2 linked regions of the Sus scrofa genome follow. The protein of the gene in region 2 binds, or shares a complex with, the protein of the main gene of each other region. Links are inferred from orthologs where the notes say so. Each region holds a gene or a part of one and is shown on either strand. Other genes may lie near its edges. The genes, in order: RARRES2 and CMKLR1.

What was found.
Region 1: the proteins of CMKLR1 (region 2) and RARRES2 are in contact, whole or in part, in a cryo-EM structure (PDB 8ZJG), measured with the Homo sapiens proteins. The link is inferred for Sus scrofa from reciprocal best matches to the Homo sapiens genes CMKLR1 and RARRES2. Residues at the interface, in NP_001135815.1 of Homo sapiens: Asp20, Tyr21, Leu22, Asp23, Ser24, Ile25, Val26, Val27, Leu28, Phe88, Leu92, His95, Tyr103, His104, Asn116, Leu119, Ile120, Met123, Arg178, Leu183, His184, Gly185, Lys186, Ser188, Cys189, Phe190, Asn191, Trp203, Thr205, His217; in NP_002880.1 of Homo sapiens: Leu34, Phe37, His38, Phe60, Thr75, Ser76, Cys77, Arg96, Leu111, Gly112, Arg113, Leu114, Val115, His116, Cys117, Pro118, Ile119, Thr133, Leu136, Arg137, Gln139, Arg140, His146, Ser147, Phe148, Tyr149, Phe150, Pro151, Gly152, Gln153.

The regions. Positions count from the first base shown.
Region 1 is NC_010460.4:55,896,663-55,911,856, forward strand, and holds RARRES2 (retinoic acid receptor responder protein 2 precursor), read right to left. Parts: upstream 9,193-15,194; 5' UTR 9,181-9,192; coding exon 9,007-9,180; intron 8,778-9,006; coding exon 8,673-8,777; intron 7,790-8,672; coding exon 7,694-7,789; intron 7,466-7,693; coding exon 7,349-7,465; 3' UTR 7,339-7,348; intron 7,175-7,338; exon of another isoform or gene 7,157-7,174; 3' UTR 7,113-7,156; downstream 1-7,112. Other genes in the region: LRRC61 (leucine-rich repeat-containing protein 61), read left to right, coding at 5,229-6,164; ZBED6CL (ZBED6 C-terminal-like protein), read left to right, coding at 1-1,010. UniProt on the Homo sapiens protein: Adipocyte-secreted protein (adipokine) that regulates adipogenesis, metabolism and inflammation through activation of the chemokine-like receptor 1 (CMKLR1). Also acts as a ligand for CMKLR2.
Region 2 is NC_010456.5:42,412,981-42,428,596, reverse strand, and holds the start of CMKLR1 (chemokine-like receptor 1), read right to left. Parts: upstream 8,253-15,616; 5' UTR 8,128-8,252; intron 1-8,127. UniProt on the Homo sapiens protein: Receptor for the chemoattractant adipokine chemerin/RARRES2 and for the omega-3 fatty acid derived molecule resolvin E1.

The sequences.
Region 1 (15,194 bases), on a different chromosome or scaffold from region 2:
AGCCGGGGAAGGCGGGAACAGCCCTGTCGGCCACCTTCTGGAGCCTGGCAGACAGCCTAGTCAAGCTCCTGCAGCCCTTCCAGATGGTGGTCCGCGAGGCGAGTGCTGCGCAGGCCACTCTGAGCCTGGTGCTGCCCCAGCTGCGCTACCTGCACATCTTCCTGGAGCAGCTTCGCGGGCACTTCGAGGGGCAGAGCGCCGGGGAGGTGGGCGCGGCTGTGCGGCTGGCTGAGGGCCTGGCCCTGCAGCTCGCCACAGACCTCCAGCTCACCGAGCTCTTCCACCGCGAGGAGCTGGTGCTGGCCACGCTCCTGGACCCCCGCTTCAAGGGGAGGATTGAGGCCATCCTGCCCGCGGGGGCTGACATTGACCACTGGAAGCAGGTTCTCGTGTGCAAGGTCAAGGAGATCATGGTGTCCGAGGACGCCACGCCGCCCTCCCCTTCCCTGCAGGGCCCCAGGGCTGGGCGCGCGGGCGCCACCTTGAGTGGCAGAAGGAGCAGGAGCCCTGGGACTGGCGGCAAGGGCCAGGAGGAGCCGGTGCGGAGGAGCAGTCCCTCTGGGTCCTTGCTGCTGGCCCAGAGGGAGAGGAGCTTGCTGGAGCAGCTGGAGAGTGCCGGGCTGCTGGCCTCTGAGAGCAGTGGTGCCTCCCTGTCCACAGAGAACCACCTGGCCAGCATCATCGTTAAGAAGTACCTGCGTGAGAACGAGACGGTGGGCGCCCAGGAGGACCCCCTGGCTTACTGGGCAAAGAGGCGGGCAGTCTGGCCAGCCCTGGCGAGACTGGCCACCATCTATCTGTCCTGCCCCGCCACGGGCGCCTTCTCTGCTAGCGTCTTTGCCTCCCTGGACAGCCCCGCCATCGTGGAGCACGGCGCCTCGCTCCCAGTGGAGACGGTCGAGCACCTTCTCTTCTTGAAGACCAACCTGGAGCACTTCCCCAGCTACACCCCACCACCCCTGGTCTTCCCCAGTGGAGACCTGGCTGAGGGGGAGCCGACCAGCGGGTGACGCCCAAGGGGCTGCCCGTGGGAGCCCGCAGCAGCTGGAAGGAGAGGGCAGAGGGTTGGCCAGAACCTTAAACCTGTTTGAAAAGAATGTTTCTTGGTTTCGGACAGGTGGCTGTTTTGTTTCCAGGGAGCTGTCACTTTGCATCTGCTCACCCCTTGATTTGTGGCCAGCGGTGTGTGTGTGGAAATGTTGGCTTTGTCAGTAGGTGGCTCTGAGTTGTGCCACTCAGTTTCCGGACCACAGTGCTCCTTTACAGCGCTGGTGGGCGGTGGGAGCCCCCAGTGGCCAAGTAGTAAGGATTCTGCTATGGGAGGGTTTGGTCCCTGGCCTGGGGGCTTCGGCGTGCTGCGGGCATTGCCAAAAAAATACGTGTCTTGGGGGATGTAAGGGGCCCTGCACACCTCACTTGCAGCATAACTGTGTGCGTCAGGGTGCAGGCCCTGCCCTCAGGGTCTGCTTCCTCAGAGAGCGACCAGGGGCCCCGGGGGCGGGGGGGCGGGGGTGCCACAGGGAACATCTTCAGCCACCTAGAGCCTGGCTGAGCCGAGGATGCTCCTCCTGGGAAAAGGAGGAGACCCCGAGGCAGGTAGCTGTTGTAAGATGGAGGTGCTGTGCGGACAGTGGCTTCAGGACCATTCCTCCCCGGGGACCCCAGAGTGCCCGAGGGTCCTCACGGCTGGGCTGCTGCTCCTCGGCCTGGGGTTGAGGTGGAGGGGCCTTCCCCTCCTCACACTGTCCTTCCCACCTGCAGGGTTCTCTAGACCCCTGGAGACCTGGGGCTTGCAGACGGCCTCAGGAAGCAGGCAGGGAGGGTACCCTGGTGGGCGGCTGCCCTGAGTTCCCTAGGGCCGTGTGCAGGGCCGGAGGGTCCTGGGCTGGGAGAAGGAGGGGCGAGCCCTCCTGAGGTGCTGGGTCACTGGGTCACGGGCTCGGGGAGGGAAGGTGGGCAGAGGCAGGGAGCAGCGCCGCCCAGCTTGCACCCTGGCCCTGGGGGTGAGCCTGGAGGCCTGTCCCCTCGCTTTGCCTGGGCCACTGTGACTAACTCATGGTAGGACATTGGGAAGTTACTGAGACTGTAAGGGAGCAGGAAAAAATTCTCCGTCTTCTTTTACTCAGGGTGAGTTTGCACCCCTGCCCTACCTGGCAGCCTGTGTTTTCAGTTTAGCAGTGTAACAGTGGCGTGAATAAAACTGTACAGATTGCCTTCCGTGGTTGGAGCAGCATGATTTGAAGTGAGGTCTGTAGCCTCCAGACGGCTCTGGGGGCACCTTCTCCCCGAGCCGTGGGAGGGGTGTGCGCACGGCTCTGGGGAGGGGCTGGACTGGGGCCACTCCTTGAGGTCCCCACTGTGTCAAGTGCATCGGGGCCCTGCCCTCTCTCCGCCTCCCTTCCTTAGGTTGTGAGTGCGGCTCCAATTTTAGGGAAAACCACCTGAGAGCATCTCTGAACCGGGGTGGCCTGTCCGCCCTCCTACCTGGGGAGCAGTAAGTAGGTCAGGTGGGGGCAGGGATGAGACGTGCCCTAGGGTGGTCCTGGGGCTCTGTATTCCTTGGCACCGCCATCCTTCGAGCTGTTCTCTCAGGAGAGGCACCGTGCCCTTACTGTTTGGCATCACTGGACTGGGGTGGGGTAGCATGTGAGGGCGGTGGGGCTGCGAAAGCAGGACACTAAGACACTGGACGGTCCCAAACTTGGGTGCTTGGGCTCTGGAGCAGTGGCTCTCAATCCAGGCACTTTGTTTTGGTTGTCACAGCTTGTGGGGTGGGGGGGTTGCTACCATCCTCTCCTGGTGGAGGAAGCAGATGCACAGAGCGGCCCTCATGGCAGAGACGCAGCCCAGCCCCAGGAGACTGTCTGCCTGAGGCTGCTCCCCTGGCCTTGGTGCCACCTGCTCTGGCTGACTCAGGGCCTGTCTGAGCATTTTCTGGCCCGTTTCCTACTTAGGTAAACTGAGACGCGGAAAGGCTGGCTCTGAGCAAGGGAGGAAGATGGGCCACCCTCCTGAGATTGGAATGCCGCTTGTTATCTCAGTCCCATGCTCACCCGTGTAGCCAAGTCCTTTTCAAGACATTTAGGCCAACAGCCTCTGTTTGCTCATTTCTGTAACAGACCTGGATGGCTCCAGGGTTTAGAGTGACCTTGACGTGGTAGAATGTGGATAAGCCATTTTCGTCACACGGGGCCTGCTGTCTGCTGCCGGCCTCCACACGAGCTGGGTTTGCACAGGTGTGTGGGCACCTCCCAAGTCGAGGTGAGGAGATTGGAGGTGAGCTGTGGCCGGGAGCAGAGCAGAGGTCACCTGTCCACGTGCACCCATGTGTTTGAGGCAGGAGCTCTGCCTCCGGCCGTGTGGCCAGGTTCCCAGCAGTTGTTCTGGTCTGCCCTCCCCCGTCTCCGTCACTTCTTGCCCTCAGCAGGGTCATTGTTTCTTGCTGGTGCTTTTATGGCCAGTTTCTCGTGCCCAGTGCCCATATGCCCCCCGCCCTGTGGGCCAGAGAGGTCAGCTAGATGCAGAGGTGACCGCATCCCTTCCTCTGCTGCTTACAGACCCCAGCAGCTGGTTTTGCAGGGAGTAGGGCAGGCTTCCTAGCACGTTCCACGCCTCTTGGAAGGAAACTGGTAGAAATGAAGGAGCTGGACTGCTGCTGACCAGGGGGGCCGGGTAATGACCTGGGACCCTCTTCTCAGATGGTAGCTGAGGGTCAGATGTGTTAGCAGCCTCCCCAACTCCCTAGTGGGGGGTGAGGGTTGGTTGGGGGGGGAGTTCTGGGTCTGGTTTCCTTGGAGGGGGAATGAGAAGTGTTGCTACGGAAACAGGCCGATTGCTGGGGCCCCAGGTTTTGTAAACAGCGGGAGTGAATGGCCCCTTGATTCTCTGCAGGCGTCACTCCGCCTGGCTTGCGCCTGGCCAGAGTCTGTGGGTTTGGGGAGCTGCCACTTGGAGCAGAGATCCCTGCTTGTTTTCCTCTCTGCCTAAACGCTGACCCCTCAGTGCTCGGCATCGCCACACCCCCTACCTGCCCCCCGGCCTCCTCTCTTGTGCTCCTGTCTTGCACTAGCACCCGGGTTTCTGCCGTCCCACAGCTACTAGTGACTTGAAAGTCCCCTCCCTCCCCTGCCTTTCTGGAGCCACGATAAGTGCCACCCTGCTCCTCCCCCAGGATGCCTCCCTTGACCACTCGGCCTACCTTCCCCAGCCTCCCTTTGCCTGCTTGGGAAATGACGTCATGTTTGTGATTGGAGCCACGGATGCGGTTCTGTGGATGCCAAAGCCACGGATGCGGTTCTGTGGATGCCAAAGTGAAGAGGGTTTGGGTGGCCAGGGCTTGGGGTCGGGCCTGGCAGTGCTGCCACTTACTCCCTGGGCCTCCACTCTCCCCTCCCTCAACCTCAGTTTCCTCATCTGGGACTGAAGGCTGAGCTACCACCAGAGGTTACGGGTTGGCCCATGGAACCCAGAAACCATTTTGAATTCATTGCTGGTATTAAAAGAGACTGAGTCAGGGACGTATCTGATGCATAAAGCAAGGCCAGGTGCTCTCATTTACACCAGCAAATGCATGGCTCTCCCAGGGAGGAACAGAAGGACTGGCAGTGATGGCCACCTGTTGTCTACTCAGAGATAACTTTAAGGGGTTAAAAGAAACACCTCAGGAGTTCCTGTCATGGCGCAGCGGAAATGAATCCGACTAGGAACCATGAGGCTGCGGGTTCGATCCCCGGCCTTGCTCAGCGGGTTAAGGATCCAGCGTTGTCCTGAACTGTGGTGTAGGCCACAGAGATGTGGCTCAGATCCTGCGTTGCTGTGGCTGTGGTGTATGCCAGCAGCTGCAGCCCCCATTAGACCCCTAGCCTGGGAACTTCCATGTGCCATGGATAAGGCCCTAGAAAGACAAAAGACAAAAAAAAAAAAAAAAAAAAAGAAAAGAAAAGAAAACACTTCAGAATGACAATGGATAATCACCAGCAGCTACTGAGAAAGGAAAGTAAAGAGGTGTCCCTGGTGCAGAGAAGGAAAATGGGGAACTGGCGACACAGGGCCTGAGTGCCATCCCGTGTGACCCCAAGTCGGGCCCCCTCGGCCCACCCCCTCAGCGGGCTCTTGGACTTGAGTCCTCAGGTCCTGCCGGGCATCTAGGTTTCTGGCCATGGCGGTAGAGGCTGGGGGCTCCCAGAGGTGTTCGGAGGCCTGCTTACTGTTCGATTGTCTCTCCTTAGGGACCCACCAGCCTTCGAGGGGGGTGTTGGAAACAGGCGTTGGGCACGGGCCCAGGCAGAGTTGAGGGCCAACCCCTTGAGGCGAGCAGCCCGCTGACCGCCACCAGCACCCACAACCCTGTGACGGAACTGCCAGCCACCTGGCCCCCACGTCTCATGGAGCCTCGGGGCGAGAAGCCTGGAGAGGCCGACGGGGTGCGCGTCACGCCCCAACTGCTCAAGTCACGCTCGGGCGAGTTCGCCCTGGAGTCCATCCTGCTGCTGAAGCTGCGGGGCCTGGGGCTGGTGGACCTGGGCTGCCTGGGCGAGTGCCTGGGCCTCGAGTGGCTGGACCTGTCGGGCAACGCACTCACCCAGCTGGGCCCACTGGCCTCCCTGCGCCAGCTGACCGTGCTCAACGTCGCCAACAACCGGCTAACGGCTCTGGAGCCCCTGGCTGCCTGCGAGAACCTGCAGCGCCTCAACGCCGCGGGCAACCTGCTGGCTGGCCCCGGGCAGCTGCAGTGTCTGGCCGGCCTGCGGGGCCTCGAGTGCCTGCGGCTGCGGGACCCCTTGGCCCGGCTCAGCAACCCAATCTGCGCCAGCCCCTCCTACTGGGCCTCTGTCCGGGAGCTGCTGCCGGGCCTCAAGGTCATCGACGGCGAGCGTGTGAGCGGCCGAGGCAGTGACTTCTACCAGCTGTGCCGGGACCTGGACAGCTCCTTGCGTCCCAGCTCCAGCCCTGGGTCCCGAGCCCTGGAGGCCCAGCCCTGGGTGGAGCCAGGCTACTGGGAGTCCTGGCCACCACGCAGCAGCTCCATCCTGGAGGAGGCCTGCCGGCAGTTCCAGGACACACTGCAGGAATGCCAAGACCTGGACCGCCAGGCTAGCGACAGCCTAGCTCGGGCCGAGCAGGCGCTCAGCCCCGCAGGCACCACTGCGTCCTTTGTCTTTTGACTGCGCCCCCTGCCGTGGCCCGGGGCAGCCTGGCATGTGGCTGTGGGGTTGGCACATTGTGACCCCCCCCTCCCGCCCATGGGTCCCTTCCTGCCTCTGTGCTTGTTGTTATGGTTTCATCACGCTGGCCTCTGGCAAAGCAGGGGACTGTGCTCTTACGTCCCCGTCCCTAAGAGCAGCCCCCTCCGCTACTCCACCGCAAGGAAAAGTGCCCACCTCCGTCCACAGGCATCAGGGACACACCTCCTGGGAGGCCTGGAGCAGGTATCAGGGCCTCAGGCCCTCCTCAAGCAGCTGGCGCCATCCGAGGCTGTCCTGCCACCTACTCAGAGTGCCCGGGAAGAGGCCCCTTGCCTCCTGTGTCCACAGCTGCTGCCATTCCTGCCCCTGTGAGTCTGAGACCTGGTGGAAGGAAGTTGCTTCTTCCTAAGACGGGGATGGCCAGCCTTCCGGCAGAGCTCAGCGAGAAGGCCATGGTTTCCTGCCTTCCAGAGTCGCCCGTCCAAGTGATTGCTCTGCCCCACAGCCCGGCGGGGCCTTCACCATCCATCCCCCCTGCGCCGCTGATCCCTAGTAAACTCCTGATGTTAATTGCCTCGCTGCCTGTCATTTCACGTGGCCCTGCTTGGTCTTCCCAGGCGTGAGTCCCTGAAAGGAGGCCCCGGGTCCTTGCTCCTGCTGGCCTTTCCTGGGGAAGGAGGAGGGGCACGCGGCTTTGCGGGGGTGCTCCAAGGGAAGTATCCTGCCCCCCCCTGGGGCTTTGCTTTCTCCCAATGAGGCTGGAGCCTCCAGGCCTCTCCTCACACACAGGTCTCCTCCAGCTGAGCTGGGGAGGGAGGGACTGTGGGGGTGGGAGGAGAGAAGGCTTTCTCAGCAGAGCAGTTTTATTAGCTCAGTGATAATGGGGGTGGCCCTCCCTGGGCGCAGAGAGGGGAGGGCCAGGCGGCCTTCACTGGTGTCCTCCCGCAGCTTCCAGGAAGCCGGGTGAAGTTCTAGAGAGGGAAGAGAAACTAAGATTGAGTGTGAGGGGGCTGTTTGGGCCCCATCCCAGCCTTCCTTCCATCCCAGGCTCTCTCCTCCCTGCCTCCCGCAGCCTGGCTCCAACTCCTCTCCATCCCGGCCCCACACCCCACTCCGGCCTGCCATCCCTGCTCTGATCTCCCTGGCCACCTACCAGCAGGGCCTCAGCTGGGGGGCAAGGCTTTGAAGAAGGCAAATTGTCCTGGGAAGTAGTAGCTGTGGGGGTCCTCGCCGGCCCGCTCCACCCGGCTGCACTGAGCTTCCTGGCGCTCCTCGGGCTCCTGTGGGCACCAGCGCCCGCTCAGGCCGGCCCAGGGGGAGGCCTGGCAGCGTCCACTGCTCATCCGCATTCTCTAGGGAACGTCTGGGCCCTGCCCAGAGCTCCTCCTCGCCCCTCCCACCCTCATCCTCTTCTCTCCTGCTGCCTTTCACACCTCCACACCCCTGCACCCGGACCTCCCCTGCAGCCCCCCCCCAAGCCTCCCCCTCGCGCCTCTGCCAACTCTTACCCGTTGGACCTGAGTCTCTATGGGGCAGTGAACCATCCGGCCCAGGACTTTATCCTCAGAGTTCAGCTTGATGCAGGCTAGGCACTTCCGCTTTCTCTGGGGAGGGGGGCATGGGGCCAGGGAGGAAGGTGATGAAGGGAGGCCTATGGCCCCATGAGGGTGGAAGCTGGGGGCAGCCTACAGTGGGGTCACAGTCCATTGGCAGTTCTGCTGGTTCCAGGCACCAACCACCCTCCCACTGGGAAACTGCCGAAGTCAAACCATCTTGCGGTTTTCTAACTATCGAGATTGGGAGAGTGCACGAGTGTGTGGGGGTGTGTGTGTGTGTGTGTGTGTGTGTGTCCGTCCCAGGTGGGTTCTCCACACTGGACTTCCACCCGAGCCACTCTGCTGTCATCTGTTTGCATTTTCTTGTAAGATTTGATTTGAACACAAGGGTCCTGGTATAAAGGTCTGGAAACCACTAGTGTAACCCAGACCCCCCTTAACAGATAGAGGGGACTGAGGCCTCCAAAGAACCTGCAGAGCCCCAGGGCGGGTGCGGCAGAGCTGGGACAAGGACCCAGATGGCTGTGCTCCCAGCCCAGGGGTCGGCCTGTGGCAGTGATTTTGCTCCCAACGTGGCTGATGAATCAAGCCCTGGTATGAAGCAGCCCAGGCTGGACCATCTCTACTTGAAAACTCACAGGAAGGGAGGAATTCACCAGGGCTTCTTCCACCCGTGACCTGAAGCCTGAGAGAGGAACTTGGATGGAGGGAGGATCAGTCTGAAGAACGTGCGTCCTCAGAGAGAAGCCCAACCGTCCTCCTCTGGTCTGTCCAGGCCCGCAGCCCACCCGAAACCATCACGACCCTGGGCTCAGACCCAGGCCACCCCCTCTGAGGTCTTCAACCTCATTCTCGATGCATCTCCTACCCACCCCCAATTGCATACTCTCACGGAGCGCACACCCTGTCACACACGCTGGCCCTCACTCACCCCGTTGGGCTTGACCTTGCACTCAGCTTTCTTCCAGTCCCTCTTCCGGCAGCTGGTCTGCTGGAGCTTAAATTCCAGCCTCACAAAGGTCCCGGCCGGGAAGGGCTGCCGACAGACAGGAAGGCCAGCAGCCAGCTGAGCCAGCAGAGCACTTCCTGGATGTGACCTGTCCCACCTTGAAACAGCACATCCCAGGGGGTGGCTGAGGCCGTGGCCTTTCTCCGGAGAGCTGGGTGCTCACAGGGCCCAAGCACTTTTGCATTTGCTCCTGGGGAACATGCTGGACTCCCGTGCAGTGGTCCCGTCCCCCTCCCCTCCCTGGGGTGCCGCTCACCGTGTCCATGGCACTGTTCACACCAGTCTCCCGGAAGGCCCACTGCACGGGTGGGTGCTTGTGGAACTCCTCCAGGGCCACCTGCAGGCCACGGAGCTGGGCCGCTGTGAGCTCAGCCCTGCCCAAGCCCATGGTGCCCAGCCACAGGGCCAGCGGGAGCAGCAGCTGCCACATGGCTTCACCTTGATCACCCTGATCCTGCAAAGGGTTAGGGTTAGGGTTCAGCCAGCTTGGGGGGTCGGGGTGGGGCAGCTCCCTGGCCCTGCGGCTCAGGGGCCACGTCTGGCAGAGGCGGAGGGCAGGGAGTGTCCCTCTCCCATTCCCCTGGGATTCCCCTGCTCCTCCCACCCTCCCCCACTCTCCAGGTCCAGCTCAGCCCGGGTCTGGCGCAGTCCTGGGTCGGGGCTGAGTTGGCCTTCGGCCTCAGGCAAGAGCTTGAGAAGCTGCGCTGCTGCCCACTCCAGCTTGCCCCGCTTTGGGGGCCCATTTTCTCTCCCATCCTCTCTGATGCCCCTCTCCTGCTGGCTGTCCCCAAACTACTGGCTCCAAGGGGCCCGGGGCCCTGACCCTCACCCTCTCGCACCCCAACTGGGGGTGGAGGGGGGGCAGGGGCAAGCACCAAAGAGAGGCCAGGGAGGCTGAATATTTTTGGGAGGAGGCTGAATATTTTTGGGAGGACGTAAACACGTGGGAGGGGTCTAGAGCGGGTGGGAACAGGAGGACACTTAACCCTTCCTGGGCTAAAAGTGCCCCTTGCCATCAGCCCTACCTGCCCCCACCCCCGGAAATGGGGGGCTCGCCTTGGTCCCACCCTTGGCTTTCTTCTTCTTCTTCGGGCAGACCCTCCCTCCCCAGTCCTTTTTTTCTGGGGCCTTCCCCCCATCCCGCTCCCAGCCCCCCCAACCTGTGACTGGGGTCGCCTCAGGACTGGACGGTCCCGACGACGCTGCGGGGGAGAGTGGTCTTAGGACCAGAAAGCCAAAGGGGTGGAAACTGAGGCCCCCGCAGTGAAAAGCTCCCCGGGGCGTTGCCTGAAAGACAGGGCTCCAGACAAGTTGACAGATATCGCCCTTTGGAGCAGCGCCCTTTGCCCGCCCGTCCTGCCGTCCAGCCACTGCCGCTCCCCGCTCACCTCCGTTCCCGGGCCTCGGGGTCGCTCCTACACTGCCGCTTCCCGACCTCCCCAGGCCGACTCTTGGCCGGGCTGTCAGCCTCTTCCCGGTACCCCCTGCTCCCTCCCACGGCTCGGCCCCCATCTCCTCCCCCTCCCACCTCCTGGGCCCCCTCCAGCTCCCAGCGCAGCGGAGGCTCCTCCCCCCACCCCACCCCCGCCCCGCGCTGGGCCGGCCCTCCTGGGACTGCGCTCCCCAGGCCAGGCCCTCGGCCCAGCCTCTCCTTGGAGGGCTGCGGACTGCCCTGCCCCCAGGCCCTTCCTGGGCGGCCAGTCCCCAGCGTCCCCCAGACCCGCGTTTCGGGAGAGTCTTCCAGAAACACAGACTACCTCAAATCATATGGGACCTCCTCGAGGTCCTTTGATCTGCCTGGCTGCCTCCCTTGGCCTAAAGCCGCGCTGGGAAGGGAGCGGTCTCCTTTAGAGAGGAGGCTGACAACCTCTAACACAGCCAACACGTCCTGATCCTGCATGTCCCATCTGTGACGGTGACAGATTCCGGGGTCTCGTGTGGGCGAAGGCGTGGTGGGATTCCTCAGGCTGCTGGGAGTCAGGGAAAGTGGGGGTTTGACTCCTGCTGCTGGCTTGTGCAAATAGGAGCAAGCTCTGGGATTTCATAGAGTGTCAGTCACCGGGACCGGGTGACCAGGGCTGCTCATCTCCCCCAGAAAGGACCTCATTTAAGGCCCAGAGCCCTTCCCTGCCAGGCGGGGGTAGACGCCCCACCCTAGGCGCTGGTTTGAGAATTAAATGAGGAGATACACGGAAAGTGGCAGATGACCCCGTGTTTGGCACAAGGTTTTCTCCCATTCCCCATGCGCCCCTGCCAGGACTCTCCTCGTGGAGCCAAGAGTTGCCTTTGCAGTGTGCCCTGGGGGTGCCATAAAGATGCTTGGCTTCAATTAGCCCTTTCTGGTGGCTAAAATTCCACCAGTGACACTTTGAACCTACTGTGAGTTGTCCACGATCTTTAAGCAGAGACGGGAGCTGGGATCTCTGTTCTCCAGGAGCTTCCGGTGAGTCTAGAGGGAAAACAGGCAGAAGGCATTTCCCAGCCCAGGGCTGCAAGCTGGAGGATCAGAGAAAACCTCCCAGACAAGGTGCGGACTGGGGCTGAGGAAAGCCTGGAAGGTGTCCTGGCTTCAGTGAGGGCCGCATCAGGCCTGGGTGAGCCAGGGAGGCTGGGAGCAGGGCGGTGGCGGCAGACAAGGAAGGAGACTGGGCGCTGGATGCATGTACAGTGTAGGTCACGTGACCAGACAGAATTCCTTTTGGGTGAAAGGAACGTGACAGTTGGGCCACCGCCCTGCAGAATGTCACAGGTGGGGACAGGGAGAGGATACTTAGGGCATATTCAGGAGCTCAGTGGCAGTGGCATGTCTCAACCCAAGGGCAGGTAACAGCACTTAGCTATTTAGTGGTTCGGGATCATCCCTGGCCTCACAGATGAAAGCGGAGATTCATGCATCCAAGACACTCTGGGCAAAGATTCCAATAAGTGAACTGAGAACCCAAACATTCTCCTGTCATACTTGCAACCACAGGGACAAACTACTGTATGGTTTTAGTTTTTGCTTTTTGGCTGCGCTCATGGCATGGGGAAGTTCTGGGGCCAGGGATGGAACCCATGCCACATCAGTAACTCGAGCTACAGCAGTGACAACACTGGATCCTTAACCAGCTGAGCCACCAGGGAACTCCAGCACATGTTTTCTGAAAAGAACCGATGTGGGAGTTCCCATTGTGGTTCAGTGGTAACAAACCTGACTAATATCCAGGAGGACGAGGGTTTGATACCTGGCCTCACTCAGTGGGTTAAGGGTCTGGTGTTGCCATGAGCTGCAGTGTAGGTCGAAGATGTGGTTCAGATCTGGTGTTGCTGTGCTGTGGCTGTGGTGTAGGCTGGCAGCTGTAGCTCCAGTCTGACCCCTAGCCTGGGAACCTCCATATGCCATGGGTGCATCCCTAAAAAGACAAAATTTAAAAAAAATTTTAAATAAAAGAACCATTTTGAATTTGAAGCAAAAGTATATCAATTTCAAAATACACCTGTCCAAGTTCAGTAAATTCACTAACTCTTGTATCAACTCAGTATAACTCACACACATTAAAATAATATCGCATAAGTTCAAAAGCAACTATAAATATTAATATCAGCAAAGTAGTCTTCAAAGTTTTCTTGTAATTTTTGCAGCCAATTTACATAACGGTGTCCTCTACAGTTAAAAGTCTTTACATATTGATTTATGTGAGAAAAGTATGCAAAGTCATAATTGTTCACTATTAGTAAAAGATTTAATTTAAAATTCTCATATTTGTTTGGTTAGGTCACAAATGAGCTTTTCCTTTCTTTAGAGCTTTAAATTTCCTTTGGTCATAGGTAGTGTTATATTGGTGTGAGAACTTTCTATTTCATATATATATATTTTTTTTGTCTTTCGTCTTTTGAGGGCCGAACCCGTGGCATATGGAGGTTCCCAGGCTAGGGGTCTAATCGGAACTGTAGCCACAGGCCTACACCACAGCCACAGCAACGCCGGATCCTTAACCCACTGAGCAAGGCCAGGGATCGAACCTGCAACCTCATGGTTCCTAGTTGGATTTGTTTCTGCTGCGCCACAGCGGAAACTCCTATATTTTTTATCTTTATTGAATATTTGGTTAACATTCTTTGGTTTCAAGAAATTCTTGGTGTTAACAATACAGTAAGTCTTAGCAAAACCCTTCGGTGACTCAACCAATGAGTGCTGGCAAAGAAAAGACTATTAAATTCATCGTCATCGGTTTCTTTCACTAGTCTCCCAAACTGGCCATGTTTCAAAGAATTTGCACTTAAATACTAAACGATTTTAACAGCTCTGCCCGTGACGCTTGCATAGAGTCCATTCAGAAAAGGGAGCACAAGTACTTTTTTTTCTTCTTTTTTCTTTTATCTTTTTTTTTTTTTTTAATGGCTGCCTTGGCAGCATATGGAAGTTCCGGAGGGATTGAATCCGAGCTGCAGCTGCAACCCGAGTGGCTGCAGTCTGATTCTTAACCTACTGCGCCAAAGCAGAAACTCCCACAGGTATTTTCAATAGGCATCATTCAGTGGAATGAAGCAATGTGGGAAACGTTGGTCTCTTGCTTTAAGATTCCAAGACCTCAGTCAGGCTGGCCACGTGTCAAGTTCTCATTATGAACGACGTGTGTCTGTCTATGTTCATGAACGCATGGAACATTTCTAGAAGGGAAAACAAGAAGCTTGTAGCATTGATTGCTTCTGAGGAGAGGAACTGTCTGGAAAGGCAAAAAGGAGGGAGAAAAACTGCACGTTCACGTTGTACTTTTACAATCTCTTACCCTCTGGGTGACTTGTACATTAGAGTGTAAAATAGGGGGTTCCCGTCATGGCACGGCAGAAACGAATCCAGCTAGGAACCATGAAGTCGAAGGTTCCATCCCTGGCCTTGCTCAGAGGGCCAAGGATCCGGTGTTGCCATGAATTGTGGTGTAGATCACAGATGCGGCTCAGATCCTGTGTTGCTGTGGCTGTGCTATAGGCCGACAGCTGTAGCTCCAATTGGACCCCTAGCCTGGGAACCTCTATATGCTGTGGGTGCAGCCCTAAAAAGCAAAAAATAAATTTAAAAAAAAAGGAATATAAAGATAAATTTTGCAAGGCTGTGCTCAGGGCTTACAAAAATCCCTGGGCCAAGGATTGATCCAACCTGAGCCACAGCAGCGACAGCAGTGATAAAGTCAGATCCTTAAACTGCTGTACTACCAGGGAACTTCTAAAAATAATTTTCTAAACTTTAAAAATCACTAAACAAGTAGCATTTTTGAAAGCTTACTGTTGGCAAGTGTATGGAGAGTGGATGAGAGGGGACGTGTCTAGGTGTGGGGCGCCCTCAGTAGGAGACAGTTGTGGCTATTGGTGAATGTGATAGAAGCAGGGTCAGGGAAGATGGAGAGAAGCAGATTAAAGCAGAGAGAAGACAGGAATGCCTAGCCCCAAAAAGGGTTGGTGATAGGAGTCCTCACTGTGGAGCAGTGGGATCGGCAGAGTCTCTGCAGGGCAGGAGCAGGTTCGATTCCTGGCCCTGCACAGTGGGTTAAAGGATCCCACGTTGCCCTGGGTTGCAGCTGATCTGATTCCTGGCCCTGGAACTCCATATACCGCAGGGGTGGCTAAAAAAAAAAGTCTTAGCCATGTGTACAGCATGTGGAGGTTCCTGAGCCAGGGATTGAACCCCCACCATGGCCGTGACCTGAGCCCCTGCAGTGACAACACTAGCTCCTTAACCCACTGCATCACAGGGGAACTCCAGTACCACGCTGTTTTGCTTGCTGAGTTTGTAGTGAGTTTTGAAATTAGGAAGTGTGAGTCCTCCAGCTTTGTTCTTTTATTTCAGGATTGTTTTGGCTATTTGGAGTCTCTAGGGATTTCTATTAATTTCTATTTCTGCAAAAAAATGTCATTGGGATTTTGATAGGGATCGCATTAAATCTGTAGATCACTTTGGGTGGTATTGATATCTTAACAACATCAAGTATTCCAATCCGTGAACATGGGATATGTTTCCATTTACTTGCGTCTTCCATAATTTCCTTCAGCAGTGTTTTATGGTTTTCATTGTACAGGTCTCTCATGGTCTTGGTTAAGTTAATTTCTATGTATTTTATTCTTGATGATATTGTAAATTCCATTTAGAATAATGGAATTTTCTTTTCCTCACAATAATTTCTTTGGAGATTATTCCTTGTTGGTGTATAGAAATGCAACTGAGTTTTATGTGTTGACTTTGTATCCTGCTACTTTGCTGAATCATTTAGTTTTGATAGGTTTTTTTTGTGTGTGTGGCATCGTGAGGGTTTTCTATGTGTTAGATCATTATCTGCAGAGATGAGTTCACGTCTACCTTTCCAATTTGGATGCCTGTAATTTATTTTTCTTGCCCAATTGCCCTGGAGAGAACTTCCAGTACTTTGTTGAATGGAAGTAGTAGAGGCAGACATCCTTGGCTTGTTGCTG
Region 2 (15,616 bases):
CAGAAGTGGATTTCAAAACAGGTCCATGAGCTGGCAGAGTCCCACTTCTACCCATCTGGGGGCTGTTCCTTTCTTACTCAAGGAACGCCCTTTTTCTCCTCACCCTAAATCCCTGACAGTTGAAAAGGGCCCCTGTGAGTCACATCTGTTGTAAAAAGAGGTGAAAATTGCCCACACTCCCTGAAGACCCGTTTTTGACGTCAGTCAGCTCCATCCCCCGGTGATGCGGGGGCCAGTGGACCCTTCAGTGCCCAGCCCGGTTCATTTGGCTCCAGCAGGCAGTGGCCAAGTCCCTCTCCCCCAAGTAAACACATTCCAGGCTGAGCACAGGTGCCATCCTAAGCCATCTCTCTTTAACTCTGAAGGAAAACACCTTGTTTCTCCCAAGCGCCATGCCTGCATCTGTCAGCAAGGGCTGGGTGTGCTCAGAGAGAGGACCGATGCAAGAAATCTTCTCCTTTCTGAGCTGGTTTCTGGACAGACAACCCAGGAGGTAAAGCCACAAACCGACATACCCTCTGCCAAGCTAGAATCTCCAACTCAATTAGCTTGGGGTTGTCTGGGATCCTTGACCATCCAAATCTTCAAGTTTAAGCTCTGAGTTTGGAGGAGACAAGGTCTGGGGACAACAAGATGCTATTTTGGTGAAATGGGGACATATGGGACCACCCAGAACATTGGATGGGATCTTCGAGGCCCGGCAGAACATGTGGCTCCCCCCGGCTGCTCCCTGCTTCCATCCACTGCACCAGACACCCCTTGCTCATCAAGCCTCCAAAATCTCTGCTCACTCTGCTCTCCCAGACAGAAATATCTTTTATTTCTGGCCAACTTATCATCCAGGCACTCAAAGCCAACTCATCCTTGGAACCAGCTCAAATACATGCTCTCTTCTCCAGGCACTGCTTCCCGACTTCCCCAGTCAAAGCTACCCATCTCTTTGCTCCTGGGCTACTCTGCACACTGAATGCACCAGGCGGGCACTGATGTGAGTCTTTAACAATAAGCGCTCAGTCGAAACGGCCCAGGTGAACCCATTTGAGACTTTCAACCTCCAGAAATATAAGATCATAAATGTGTATTGTTTTAAAGCCACAGAGCTTGCAGCGATTATTAGAGAGGCAACAGGCTCATACACTGACTCACAGGGCTCTTAGTCCATCCCAGACTCAGGAATTCACAGATTCCAACAAATTCTGATAACGAGGGATAGGCCTATCTTGAATGCCCTCGGTCCCTGATCACCACCCCAGATCATTAGTTGAGCACTGCCACAGCTCTGAGTCAAGAGGAAATCGAGGCTTAAAGAGGTCATGTGACTTGCCTGAGCTCACTCAGGTGACTGGTTCCCAAGACCAGAACCAGATCTGCTTGATGGCACCCCACCAGCCCTCCTGTCCCTCTGATCCCTGATCCACAGAAGGAAAAACTGAGCGTGCTAGCCACTGTTTCTTGCGCCAATCACCCTACCCACCCACCTCCTTGCACAAGAGCTGCCCTCAGCAGGAGCACAAGGCTAAGATCAGAGGACCCAAGACCCCAAGAAAGCAGAACCGATTCCAGCATTCTGCCTGAAGAGCAGCTGACCCCCCTGCTGAGTCAGCTGCTGATACTTTCAAGGTTGCCACAATGTGTCAGTGGGGCTGGAGCACCCTCTTCCCTGACCCCCCCATTACCCCCTACCCGTCCCCCGTTCCCCACCCCCGCCCTTGGAGCCCAGCACTTCTCCATGGGGCATGGCAGGAAGCAAGGAGACTGGCCAAAACGACATTTTCTACCCTGGGAGCCCAAGGTCGCAAGGCACCAGATGCCCCCATCAACTGACACATACAAAGGCAAATTTCAATTCCCACTTTCCTGAAAATAAAAATAGAGGTGACTTCATTGAGCTGACCACGTGCCGTCCTCATGTATATATTTATGTATATTAACTCACTTAACCCCCAAGAGTCTCCCTGCCTTACAGATGAGGACACTGAGGAGGCAGGAGGTGAAAGGGCCGAAACAGGATCTGAACTCTAGAGCAGGTGGCTGTGGCATCTATGACCATGTCACACTGTCAGTAATGCCAAGCAGACATCAGTGTATCTTTCTGTGACAGCACCAGGTAGAAATAACATGGCCTCTGGGTTCCAACCAGCAGGTCAAGAAATTCTACTATTTCTCGGAGTTCCCGTCGTGGCGCAGTGGTTAACGAATCCGACTAGGAACCATGAGGTTGCGGGTTCAGTCCCTGCCCTTGCTCAGTGGGTTAACGATCCGGCGTTGCCGTGAGCTGTGGTGTAGGTTGCAGATGCGGCTCGGATCCCGCGTTGCTGTGGCTCTGGTGTAGGCCGGTGGCTACAGCTCTGATTCGACCCTAGCCTGGGAACCAACATATGTCGTGGGAACGGCCCAAGAAATAGCAAAAAAGACAAAAAAAGAAAAGAAAAAAAGAAATTCTACCATTTCTCAATTAAGCTTATGCAAAAATCTACAGGTTCCAAAAGAGAAGTAAATTAACCGCTATTTTGCCTTAAAACAGCATCAGCACAAGGTCACTGCCAACCCACAGGACCCCTTCCCTGTATTCAGGCTCAAGCCTAGGGCCTCACCCTCAGCCAGTCCTGAGTTCTGGCCTGGGAACCAAAAGCCCTGGATCCTAATCCTACCAAGTGACCTTGGAAATGTCACTTAAACAATCAGAGCCTCGCTTTCCGCAGATCTAACACGTGGGCAAATGTAACTACCCCCATGGCCCCTCCAAAGTCCCATGAGGGCAGGAATCCTGTCTTTTTCACCATCCTGCCTTGTGGAGTTCCAGGCACAGAAAAGGTGCTAATGAATGTTTGTTGAGTGACTGAATAAAAGTCTAAGTGACAGGTTTGCCTCCCTTCCCCTAAAGGCCTTCAGAAGAGGGACTGGGCCTGATCCATCTTAAGTTCTCACCTGGGTACAGCTTTCGCTCTTCATGAGTTTATTCACATAGGAAATTGTCCCTAGGCACCCACCCTGTTCCCAGCACAGTCAAGGCCTCAGCATCATCCAGGATGCACAGATGGCTTCAGTCCATCCTCACACGCCATCTCCTCTTTTTTCTGGCCAGTGACTGTAACACCTAATCACACTGGGCTTCCTGAGCCCAAGACAACCACCCAGCTGCCTTCTGATCAGCAAATCTGGCCCATTCTGGGGTCTTAGACAATGATTCCTTCATATCCATTTCCTTATACCCCACGCTGGGGGAATACAGCCCAAGGAAATCCCCTACCCTAACCCCATACGTGGTCTTGAAGTACACTCGTGCATGCATGCACGTGCGTGTGTGTGCACACACACACAAACACACACACACCTTGCACACATGTGCTCCAATGTGCAATGGGACCTTAGGACAGGAGTTGGATTTTCTGAGTTGAAATCCCAGTTCTTTTTCTTAAGAGCTGTGTGACCTTGGGAGAGTCCCTTTACCTCTCTGAGCCTCATTTTCTTCATCTATAAAATGGAAATGCTAACCATGAAGCCTTTCCATGTAGGGTTGTAGGGGGGTTCAGTGAGATAATGGATATGAAAACCTTTGGCTCAGCAAGCGTGCTTAGCTCTATACCATTATTATAGTTCCTTTTTCCAGGAGGGAACAAGAACAGCAGTTGCCTAAGTTCTAGGAAAATCTATGTTTAGGGGACTGGAATGTGGAGATTTACTCAGTGTATTTGATGAGGATTATCTGGAGGATAGGAAAGTATTTGTGGGCCCCACGTTATCCTGTTAATTTTAAGATTGACTAGTGAAAATTTAGAATTTAGAATCAGGACTGGAAGAGACCCAAGCAGTCACCGTATTTGTGGCAGAGACAGCTAGCTGTCCACAAAAATTTGTCCTCCCTTCCACAGTACACAGCTGTAGGTGAGACTGAGTCACCCTTGCCAAGAACTACATTTCACAGCCTCCTTTGCAATTGGATTGGCCACATGCCTAGTTCTCATGTGTGGCAGAAAGCAGTTAAGAAGCAAACATGCCCCCTCCATCCTTTCTTTCACCAGTGATGATGTCCAAGGGATGGTAGGGACATGAGATGGGTTCCTGAATCGCCACCCCCCACACAGAAATACCTGCCTTATAATAAACTTGTGTTTTGTTTGAGCCGTGATACTTGTTTGGGTCTATTTGTTACTTCCCTGACTAATACAACATTCAATCTCCTTATTTACAAATGAGAAGATTATGGCTAGAGAGTGAAAATACATTGCCTAAGGTCACACAACAAACTCAGCAATGGTTAAGAACTTTGTTGTCTTAACAATTTGGAGTAGATTTGCAGTTTTCAAGAGGATTCCTAGAGGCCTTCGGCAGTGACAGTGAGGCTCAGTGAGCTGCTGTATAGAGTCTTCCACTTCTGCTTCAACTAGAATAGCACCACTTTATCTGTCTTCAAATTGCAGTTCTTTATATGTTTTTTTTTCTTTTTTTCTCTTTTCTGTCTTTTTTTTTTTTTTTTTTTTTTTTTTTTTGCTTTTTAGGGCCACACCTGCAGCATGTGGAAATTCCCAGCCAGGGGTCAAATTGGAGCTACAGCTGCAGGCCACAGCCACAGTCATGGCAACATGGGATCTGAGCCACATCTGCAACCAAACCACAACTCACGGCAATGTCAGATCCCCAACCCACTGAGCAAGGCCAGGGATTGAACCCACCCCCTCATGGATACTAGCTGGATTCATTTCTACTGCACCACAACAGGAATACACTCCATATATCTTCATTGGATGAAAGGGTTCTGTGACTTAAAATAATGTCAAAGGCCACACACTGGGTGATTGCTAAGGGATCTGACTTTCTGTGGTATAAGACCAAGTTTCGCTTCTTCTCCACCATTGCCTCTTGGCCTCAACTGCTGACATAGGACATGCAGACTCACAGAAGTGCATAGATATTTGCTTAGAAAGGAAAAAAATGTCTCCGTGAGCAGCAAAGAACCCAGAAACCTGGATAAAGGGCAAAAAGGAAAGATATTCAAGTATTCCATCTCAGTGATTCTCAAGTTTTAGGGTATATCAAAATCATCAGGGGTGCTGGTTCAGAATGCAGACACCCACACCTCATCCTCAGAGATGACTCGAAAAACCTCATCCTCTGACTCAAAAAACCAAGGCTGGAGTTCCTGTTGTGGCTCAGCAGGTTAAGAACCTGACTAGTGTCCATGAGGATGCAGATTTGATCCCTGGCCTTGCTCAGTGGGTTAAGGATCAGGAATTGCTGCAAGCTGCAGCATAGTTCACAGATGCGGCACGGATCTGGCATTGCTGGGGCTGGGGCATAGGCTGGCAGCTGCAGCTCCAATTCAATCCCTCACCCAGGAACTTCCATGTGCCCCAAGTGTGGCCCTTAAAAGCAAAACAAAAACAAACCAAAGCTTTAGGAAATGTTCATAATTATTCTAATGCTAGAGGTCCCAAGATTGCCCTTTGAGAAGCCTTGAGTCTGATTCACAGCCTGGAAACTCTCAATGGTAACTGTGCCTATGTAGCATAGCTCTAAGAGCATGAAATGGGCTCTTGGTTTTCTTGTACACTGGCTGGAACCTGAGCAGTAATAATTTACTGGTAAAGAAATCAATCATAATTTCTCTTTGGCTCAGATGGGTGACAGGTATGGTCAGCATGGTGATATAGAAATGATAATAGAATAATAGCTAATGTTTATAGCATCTTCTGACACAACAAGCTCTCTGCAAAGTGTCCAACATATATCATCTCATTTAATCTTTATAATAATCCTATGAGGTAGTTACTGTTCCTCTTCCCATTTTACCAATGAAGAAACTGGAGCATAAAATTAAGCTGTGTAGACACTCAGTTGGTGGTTAAAACTCACCCAGCAGAGCCCAATCCAATAGCCACAATGCTCTGCTACCTCTTGTGGAGGTCTAACACCAGAAACCCTCTTCAGACCTCAGTTTCCTAATCTATAAAATGGGCATGTTAAGAATATCTTTATCATACAGCTGTGGTGAGGAGTCAAGAGAGTCATGGCGATAAAGTGGTTTGTAAACTGAGAAGAGTTATTAAGGAAACACCTAAGAAGTGAGACTTTAGTCTCACTCCCCCGTCCCATTTTATGGGTGGGGAAACCGAGGCCTGGTTACTTTATTTACTCAGTGAACCTTTCCTGAACACCTACTGTAAGCGAGGTCTTGTGCAGAAAGAGAAAAATAGCCCACGTCTGGCTTCAAGGAGCCTCCAGGCCAGCAGGAGAGACAGTCAAGATGATTGACGATTACTACACAGTGTAATATGTACTGTGATGGGTGGAGTACGTGTACTGGGAGAGTCTAGTGGGCAGGCCTTGACCCAGTTGGGGGGAGAGCACTTTTCAGAAGGTGTCAAATCAATGAGGGGAGTGACCTGCCCAAAGTGAAATCTATTATTCCCTGACGTTTTGGAGGAGTCCAGAGAAGGTCCCTGTGTGCCAGCGGATAACTCTTCCCATGGGCTTCTCAATGCCTGACCCACCACTTGGGCATCAGTGGTTCAAGTTAAACTTTAAGAAAATGCCAAGCTGCCCTCCTCCCGCCAGTGGCCTCCTGGATTGACCAAACACATTCATCTCAGCAACAGAGGTGTTTAAAGGAGACTGTCCTTTGAGCAAGTTTGAAGAAATCAGGAGAGATAGTAAGAACCATGGAGAAGACTGGTTTTGAAAAACAGGCTGGGGATGCCGAAGGGGCCAGGCTCTTGAATGGAGGGAGAAGACAGACCCAAGGCTTGGCCGCTCTGCTGGCTCCCTGAACCACATAGTCTGAGTGATCAGACTGTCATCAAGTAGCAGTTACTTGAGTATAACGACGTGTTGTTTGCTTGTCATTTTACCAAACGCTGGCCTGAATGGCTTACCCATTTAAAATGTGCTAGTCTGAAAGCAGAATGGGGAGTGGAATATTTCTGACAGATAGCCCTGGCTAAGGGTTCATATCCTTCATATGCAAAGAACTCTTAAATCTCAATAAGATAAAGACAGACATGCCAGCAAGGGGGAAAAAAAATGGCAATAGACTTGAACAGGACAGTCCTAAAAGTGAACAGTAAGATTCTAGAGAATAATCAGCATGAATAAAGAAACATCAAGTCAAATAGCCAGATGTTATCCTCAGCTTTCCCATCAGGGGGGTTGTAGGAGATGGGGAACAATGGGGATGTAGGGGGTTGGGGAAACCGTGCGAGACTATCACACCCCAATATCGTGCCAGGGGAGTGCAAGCCAGCACAATCTTCCAGGGTGGTGTGGACAAAAGCCTTGGAAGCCTTAAAAATAGGCAAAACTTTGAGCCAATGATTTTACCTCTGGAAAGGTATCCATAGGAAAACACGTAAAGATGATATACAGAAGCAGACATTGCAATGCCATTTATATTAATGGAAAAAAGAAGCAGCAGCAACCACATTGAGGAATGGTTAATAAAGTCATCGTCTCTGTGCAGCCATAAAAATGTACATTGGAGGAACATGGATAGTACAGATGGAAGGTCACCATCCATGGTTAAGGACAAGGTAGGTTACCACAGTAGATAGTGGAAAAGTGTGTGTGTGTCCACACTGAGACACTCCTATGTGTCTGGTACATTGTAGGCACTCAACAAGCTTCATAACTAAATCAGCGTGTGAGCACGTGAATGAGTGGTACAGAGAGGCACCTAGCAGTCCACCCCTGGATTAGGAACTCCGTCTTTCCTCTCTGTGGCTGAGAGGTAGGATGGCCTAGCGGCTAGGAAGGTGGGCTGTGCAGACTCTCATTCATTCTGACCTCAGCCCCCAGCTTACCATCTCCACCATGCTGAGCAGGTGCCTCCCCCAATCTGAGCCTCAGTTTCTTTACCAGTAAAATGGGGACCATGAAAGTCCCTCCCTCCTCAGACTGCTGTAAGCATTGACCAAGTACCAAAGGGAAACACTGAACTCACTGCTTTTATCACCACGGTGACCTCACTGTTCTTTACAATTAGCATGCATCTCTTTGGAACTCTCAAAGTCGTAATATAGCTGTTTCCATTTGGACGAAAACTACATTTTAGCAAGAACCAAAGAGCTTCTGTCACTGCTAGGGTTCCCCTTCCCAGGCCCCTCTGGCTGATATCAAACCCAAGCATGATACCTTGTGGCTGGTCTCCACCCAGATCTTCCCAAGGCTTTCGTGGCTTCAGGCCACTGGAGGCTGTGCAGGAGACCTGTGTTCCCCGACTTCTTTCTTGAAATCACACTGTTCTTGGGTTGTGGCTGTTTGCCCAGAAAGCAGTTCATGCATTCATACAAGACCCCCTCCAATCCCCCAGAGCACAGCCCCCCAGAACATCCTCATCTCTCGCAGGCTCCCAGGGAGACCCACTCTGTGCGCTCTTTGCTCAGCAGGGCTGCCGTCCTGAATGGGCCAGAGCTCTGCCAGAGAAACAGCTGGAGGGAGGAGAGAGGGAGGGGCAGGAAACCGGGCTGACCGAGGGCGGGGGCGGCCAGCTGCGTGGAGTGGGGACCGACAGGGGAGGCTGCTGGGGCTTGTGGGTGGTGGCTGGTGGCGCAGCCTGCTGGGGAGGACCGGCCCCTCTGGGAGCCGGGAGCCGTGCCCACCATCTGAGCACAAACCAGGAGCACATGCAGGCCTCTCCGTGGCTGTGGGAACCACTTCTGCTCCTTGCCAGGGCCTCTGGAGCTCCAGCCAGACTATGCACAGACGAGACTGGCTGCCGGATATCCCTGGGTCACCTCCTAACCCCAGCGTTTGTGCATGCTGTTCCTTCCACCTGGGTGCCCTTCCTGTTTCCTGCCCCTAGTTGTGGCCTGATAACCCCCTACTTCCTTTTTTTCCTCTTTATTAGTATTATTATTTTTTTTTTGTAAATTAAAATAGCAACGAGGTGGGTTTTTTTAAAGCATCAAATGAAAAAATTAAAATGTTCTATAGAGTTTGATTTTAGTAAATGTTACAGGGAAGCAAAAACCTTAGACACCATTGACAAATACATTCATGTACCATTTCTAGAGTGATAACAAACTGCAACAAACCTTTAACCACTTTCAGACCTTGCGTTAAGTATTAATTCTATTTTCATCCCAGACCCAGCTTCCCAGAGGTAAATATCATTAACAGTTTGGAATGAACACACACATACATTTTAAAGATAAAAGTAAAATGACTCAGTCCTACTTTGGGTACCATATTGTAACTTGCTTTTTCATTCAATGATTGTATGTCTACGTAATACATATTTATACATATATATGTGTGTATATATACACACTTTACTTTGTTTTAATCATCACTAATTATTTCATTGACCTGATGAATGTTTATTTAATCACTATTTTAGGGTGGATGATTAGGTTATTTTCAACTTTTGGACTATAGTATACACACCATTGCACACTTATCCAATTACTTTCTTATACAAAAATGCCTATGAACATGTTTATTATTCAGAGTCACCTCCCAGGGAAGACTTTCCTGCCCCTTGGGGACTGCTCTGGGCTCCCCCGTCGCAGCCCTGATGCCCAGCTTGTTAGGGTGTCTCTGTCCCTTGCACTGGGAACCTCTTGGGGGAGGGCCTGTGTTTTGTCCCCACGGCTAAGCATGTGCCTGGCTTATAGTCACGGATCAACACCACCATCATCTCTGAAGAATCAAAATAGCTGACAGCCAGGCAGTGTGCTAGGCGCTTGGTATTAATCCTCATGAAGGAAGGAAGGAATTAGGTGCTATTTCTGCCCCTATTATTCAACTTTGAGAAAATTGGGACACGGAAAAGTTAAGTCACTTTTCTAAAGTCACACCATTGGCAGGTGGCAAAGCTGGGATTTCAACTGGGCCATCTGGCTCCAGAGCCCCACCCTTAGCCTCCAGACTAAAGAACTAACAGAAATGTCCACTGTGTGCATTGCTCCATGCCAGGTGCTTTCTGTGGAGTACATCTCGAACCTCCAACAATGCCAGAGGAGGTGGCATTTGCCCATTTTACTGATGAGGATTCTGAGGCCGTGGAGGGAAAGTCATTTTGCCCAGGGCGCCCAGATCATACCAGTAGTGGCATAATAGAACCAAGGTCTGTCTGATTCCAAAGCCAAGGCTGCAGAAAATAACTGTGTAGAAAGGAAAAGAGAGGGGTGGTGGGGTGGAGGGAGAGCAGGGGGAAAGGTAACAGAGAGAGAAAAAGGGAGGGGGATAGGAAAGAAAGAAGAAGGGGGAGTGGAAGGGAGGGAGGGAGGGAGGGAGGAGTGAAAAAGAGGGGTGAGAGAGAGAGGGAGGGAGGGACACCTGCTCTTCTTGGGCCTCCAAAATCTTGGGCAGGTAGGGAAACATGTCCTTCAGCATCTGACCAGCCCAAGAAGCTCACCTTCTCTCCCCACCATCCTCGATCTTTCGTTGAGATTTACATTTAGAAACTATCTGGTCTAACACTTTCATTTCAGAGATAATAATTGGAAGCACAGAAACGTTAAGTCACTTGCCAGAGGTCACACAGCTCCTAGAGTCAGAAGTCAGGCCCAGGCTGACTTAAAACCCCTCTCCTCCCTCCTCTGCCAGGCTTGCCCTTCCCCATTCATACTGTACAGATGGAAACATTGGACCCAGAGAAGGCAAGGGACCCAGAGAAGGTCACCCAAGAGTTAGCAGTTGAGCGGCAGCCACAAAGTCTCCTGGTCCAAAGGGGAGGCCATTTCCACCATGTGAGGGGGATCCTGTACCTCACCATCTAAAGGTTTGTCACTAACAGAGACCAGTGGTTCTCAAAGCATGGATTCCAGGCCAGCAGCAGCAGCAACCTTACCTGGAAGCTTGTTAGAAATGCAGGCTGTTAACAAGCCCCCAGGGGATTCTGATGCTGGCTCGAGTTTAAAAGCCACTGATACAGACTTTTCCATTAGGAATACATTCTGGATCCCAGGACACGTCACCTTCTCAATCCACAGAGCCGTGGTTAAGGATGTAGACCTTGGAATCGGACAGACCTGAGTTGATAGAATCCATGTCTCCACCACTGGGAGCTGTGTGAACAGGTCCTTTCGCCTCTCTGAGCCTCAGTTTCCTCATCTGTTTGAATGGAGGAGGAGGGGAGGGGAGGAGGAGGGGGAAGAGGGGGAAGCAGCCTTCCAGGAAGAGGAGCACACTCCTGGGAGTCCTGGAAGGGGAGGTGGGCGGTTGGGCCTTTGGACGGATTTATGGAAATTGCCTCTTCCTCCTTCTAGAATGTCTCCCAGAGGCCTCTCGCCTCCAGAACCAGCCCGAGGCTATAATGAGGCTCAAGTTTTATCAGCTGGAAGCCACCTCAGCTGAGGGAGGATGCTGGGCTCCCAGCCAGCCAGCTCTGGATTCTGGAGGTGGAGGTCAGAACGTGCAGCCCCACCCAGCCCGTGAGGAATAGGCCGAGTCAGGCCGCGACCGACCGACCAGCAGAAGCCACGGTCTTTGGCCGCCATTCGGAACATGGCGGAAGAGTTTGGCTTTTTCTTCCTTGGAGTGAAAAGCATTGGGTGAGTTTTTTTACTTTCAGTGTTTTTTTTTTAAATAGGATTCTGAAATCCAAGCCTGAGACCAGAATACTGGGGCCTGAGAGGGTGGTCATGCCCTTCAGGGCTGGCAAAGACGCTTCTGTTTTTTCCCCATAGATGCTGTCGTTCCAAGAAGGCAGATAAGGGTTTTTAAAAATTATTTCATTTTATTTTTTTGAATTTTTTAATTATTTTAAAATTTATTTTATTGAAGTATAGTTGATCTACAATGTTGTGTTAATTTCTACTGTACAGCAAAGTGATTCAGCTACACACACACACACACACACATATATATATACACACACACACACACACACATATATATATATATACACTCCTAGAGTTCCAGTCATGGCCCAGTGGAAATGAATCTGACTAGTATGCATAAGGACGCAGGTTCAATCCCTGGCCTCACTCAGTGGGTTAAGGATCAGCATTGCCATGAGTTGTGGTGAAGTTTGCAGACGTGGCTCAGATCCCAAGTTGCTGTGGCTCTGGTGTAGACCAGCAGCTGTAGCTCTGATTCAACCCCTAGTCTGGGAACTTCCATATGCTGGGAACCTCCATGTAGCACGGGTGCAGCCCTAAAAAAAAGGCAAAAAAAAAAACCCATATATATATACACTCTTTTTCATATTCTTTTCCATTATGGTTTATCACAGGGTGTTGAATATAGTTCCCTGTGCTATACAGTAGGACCTTGTTGTTTATTCATTCTATATATAATAGTTTGCATCTGCTAATTCCAAACGCCCATTCCATACCTCCCTGACCCCCTTGGCAACCACAAGTCTGTTCTCTAGGTCTGTGAGTCTGTTTCTGTTTTGTTTTTTGGTTTTTGGGTTTTGCTTTTTTTTTTTTTTTTTTTTTTTTTGCTTTTTAGGGCCGCATCTGTGGCATATGGAGGTTCCCAGGCTAGGTATCAAATTGGAGCTGCAGCTGCCAGCCTACACCACAGCCACAGTGATGCAGGATCTGAGCCACGTCTGCGACCTGCACCACAGCTCACTGCAAAACCAGGTTCTTAACCCAGTGAGCAAGGCCAGGGATGGAACCTGCATCCTCATGGATGCTTGTCAGATTCGTTAACTGCTGAGCAACGACAGGAACTCCTGTTTCTGTTTTGTAGATAAGTTCATTTGTGTCATATTTTAGATTCCACATATAAGTGATATCATATGATTTTTGTCTTTGATTTACTTCACTTAATATGATAATCTCTAGCTACATTTATGTTGTTGCAAATGGCATTATTTCATTCTTTTTATGGCAGAATATTATTCCATTGCATATATGGACCACATCTTCTTTACCCATTCATCTGTCAATGAACATTTAGGTTGTTTCCGTGTCTTGGCTATTGTGAATAGTGCTGCTATGAACATAGGGGTGCGTACATCTTTTTTTCAATTATACTTTTGTTGGGTTAGGCTTCCTCATGATGCGCAACTCTAGTTGCTTGGCTCTGGAATCCTGGAGCTCTGTGTTTAAGGATATCTGAGGCTACATCCAGGCCTGCCTGAGAAGAGAACTGTGATCAATTAGCAGTGCCTTCCCTGGACCTGGGGATGGGGGCTCTCTCATCCCACGGTGTTCTCCAACAAAAGTCCACCCCATTGGCCTAGGAGGCTGGGGGCTAGTCCCAGCTCTGCCCCATTTGTCCCAGGTATTGACAGATCCTAGTGTAGATTTCATTTGTATAATTTGTATCTCCATTCCCCACACTCCTTGGTATCTGTGAGGGTTTTTTTGGGGGGGCGGGGGAGGGAAGCCTCACCCTTGGTATATGGAAGTTCCCAGGCTAGGGGTTGAATCAGAGCTATAGCCATCGGCCTACGCCCCAGCCACAGCAACGTCAGATCCGAGCCACATCTGCGACCTACACCACAGCTCATGGCCCTGCTGGATCCTTAACCCACTGAGTGAGGCCAGGGATCGAACTCACATCCTCATGGATACTAGTCAGATTTGTTTCCACTGCCCCACAACAGGAACTCCCTTGGTATCTGTTTCTGATTGATCTTAGTGTTCAGGGATTCCTAACACCCTTAGTTAGAGCTAAATGATTTCTCTATCTCCCTGATCATCAGTTGCTAAAGTGGACTCACCAGAGAGGCTTTCAAACCAAAGGGAGCCTTCGGAGATGCTTTCTGAGACATGCAGAACTCTATAAAAGCGGATAGTTTGGGGCTTTCTTGAAGGCATGGACAAGCCACACTTGGACCCGTGTGGCCTTGGGCAAGTCATTTATCCTCCCAGGTTCCTTCAGTGCTCCTGTGATTAAGTTATGGCTGTGATTAAGTGGTGAATCTGGATATGGGAATATAATCCTGGATTATCTGGGCTGGGCGGGGGTGGGGTGGGGGGGCAGTGTAATCCAAGGATCCTCATGAGAGGAAGGTGGGCAATGACAGGGAGAAGGCAGTAAGGTGATGAAGGAAGCAGAGCTCTCAGTGATGGGGTCACTAACCAAGGAATGTGGGCAGCCTCTGTGCTAGAGACAAGAAGTGGATCCTCCTCTGGGAGGAACTGGCCCTGCCAACATCCTAATTTTAGCCCCTTAAGACTCATTTTGGAATTCTGACCACCAGAACTCTAGGAGCGGGTGTATTGTTTTAAAGCACTAAATAAATGTATGGTAGTTGTTAAAGCGGTAATGGGAAATGAACCCAAAAGGCTGTTCCAGAAAAGACCAGAACACTTGATGGCAGCCAGATCTGAGTTTGAGCCCCTGATCCACTTACTAGCTGTGTGATCTTGTGCAATTTCCTAACCTCTCTGAATCTCAGCTTTCTCCTCTATGCACGAGAATAGTAAAGTACCTACCTCAGACTATAGGAAAAATGAGTCACTTGATACACACCACATGCTTAGAACAGTCTGGCACATAGTTAGCACTAAGTAAATGTTGGGTTTTCTCCCTTCTTTGGGGCATTAAAAGTCCTGCATTCCCAAGTATGGGCCCTCTATCTCTTGGGATGCTACTAGAACCACCTTCCTGATGCTCCATTTTATTTAGTGTCCTTCCACTGCTCAACAACATTCCATGGCTCCCCAGTACCCTGTCTTTAATTTGGTTGATCAAAATCCCCCATTACCAACTTCATCTCTCAGGAAGGAAAAAACCAGAGGGATGGCAGAGCTGAAAAGAATGTTGGAGGAGCTAGATCTTCAGATGTCAATTGAAGTGTCACCTCCAGACCTCCCAAGACCAGTCAGCACCCCTGTTGTCCGTTCTTATAATATCCTGTCCTCCACTGCAGCACCAGCCTCAGTCATAATGCAGCAATCATTTGTGCTGGGAATATACCATCTGTCTCCCTTCCACGGTCAATTCCATGGGGGCAGAGACTGTGCTAGGCACGTGGTCACTCTTCAATACCTATTTGTTAAATGAATGAATAGATGGATAACCAGCCAGCAACCTCCCCAGGCAGCTGAGCCCAAGACCCAAGTTCTTCCTGATGGCCAAGTTCCTGCTCCTCCCTGAAAGGCCTGCAGTGTTATCAAGATAAGATTGTTGAGCCCTGGGCCATGCGTCATCAGACACTTGTCATACCCTTAGCCAAAAATCATATTGGAAACTTGACTTGTGTTCAGGTAACAGAGTTCCTGCCTCTGTGGGTGAAGGAGGGTCCCTTGAGCTCTCAGGGATTGACTGAGGTGGAGGGAAGGAGCCCAGAAGTGAGATGCTGAGTTTGGGGAACTGAAAAGGAAGAAGAGGTAGCAAGATGCTCGAAACTCAGGATTCTGTCTGCTCAGCAAGCATCCGGGTTCCCCCAGGCTTTCATCCAAACTGAGAGGTGTTAACAGCACCAAATGGGTCCTGGGTGGGACAGGGAGTCAGGAAGCCTCCAGTCTGAGGCCCTGGGAGGGGGCTTTCCTGGTTGGGAGTGGATACACAGTGAGCCGTGGGGACCCTACCCTCTCAGCTCCTCCTACTAGAAGAGGCAGTTTTCTACTGGCTGTGGAGGGGACCACCCTGGATGCCTAGGAGGAGTGGGTGGGGTGGGGTGGCAGGGGCTGTTCCAGCCCATTTCTCCAGGATGAGAACAGAGGAGCGTGGAGCCCTGTTGCCTGCTCTTCCCCAGCTCTCAAGTGTT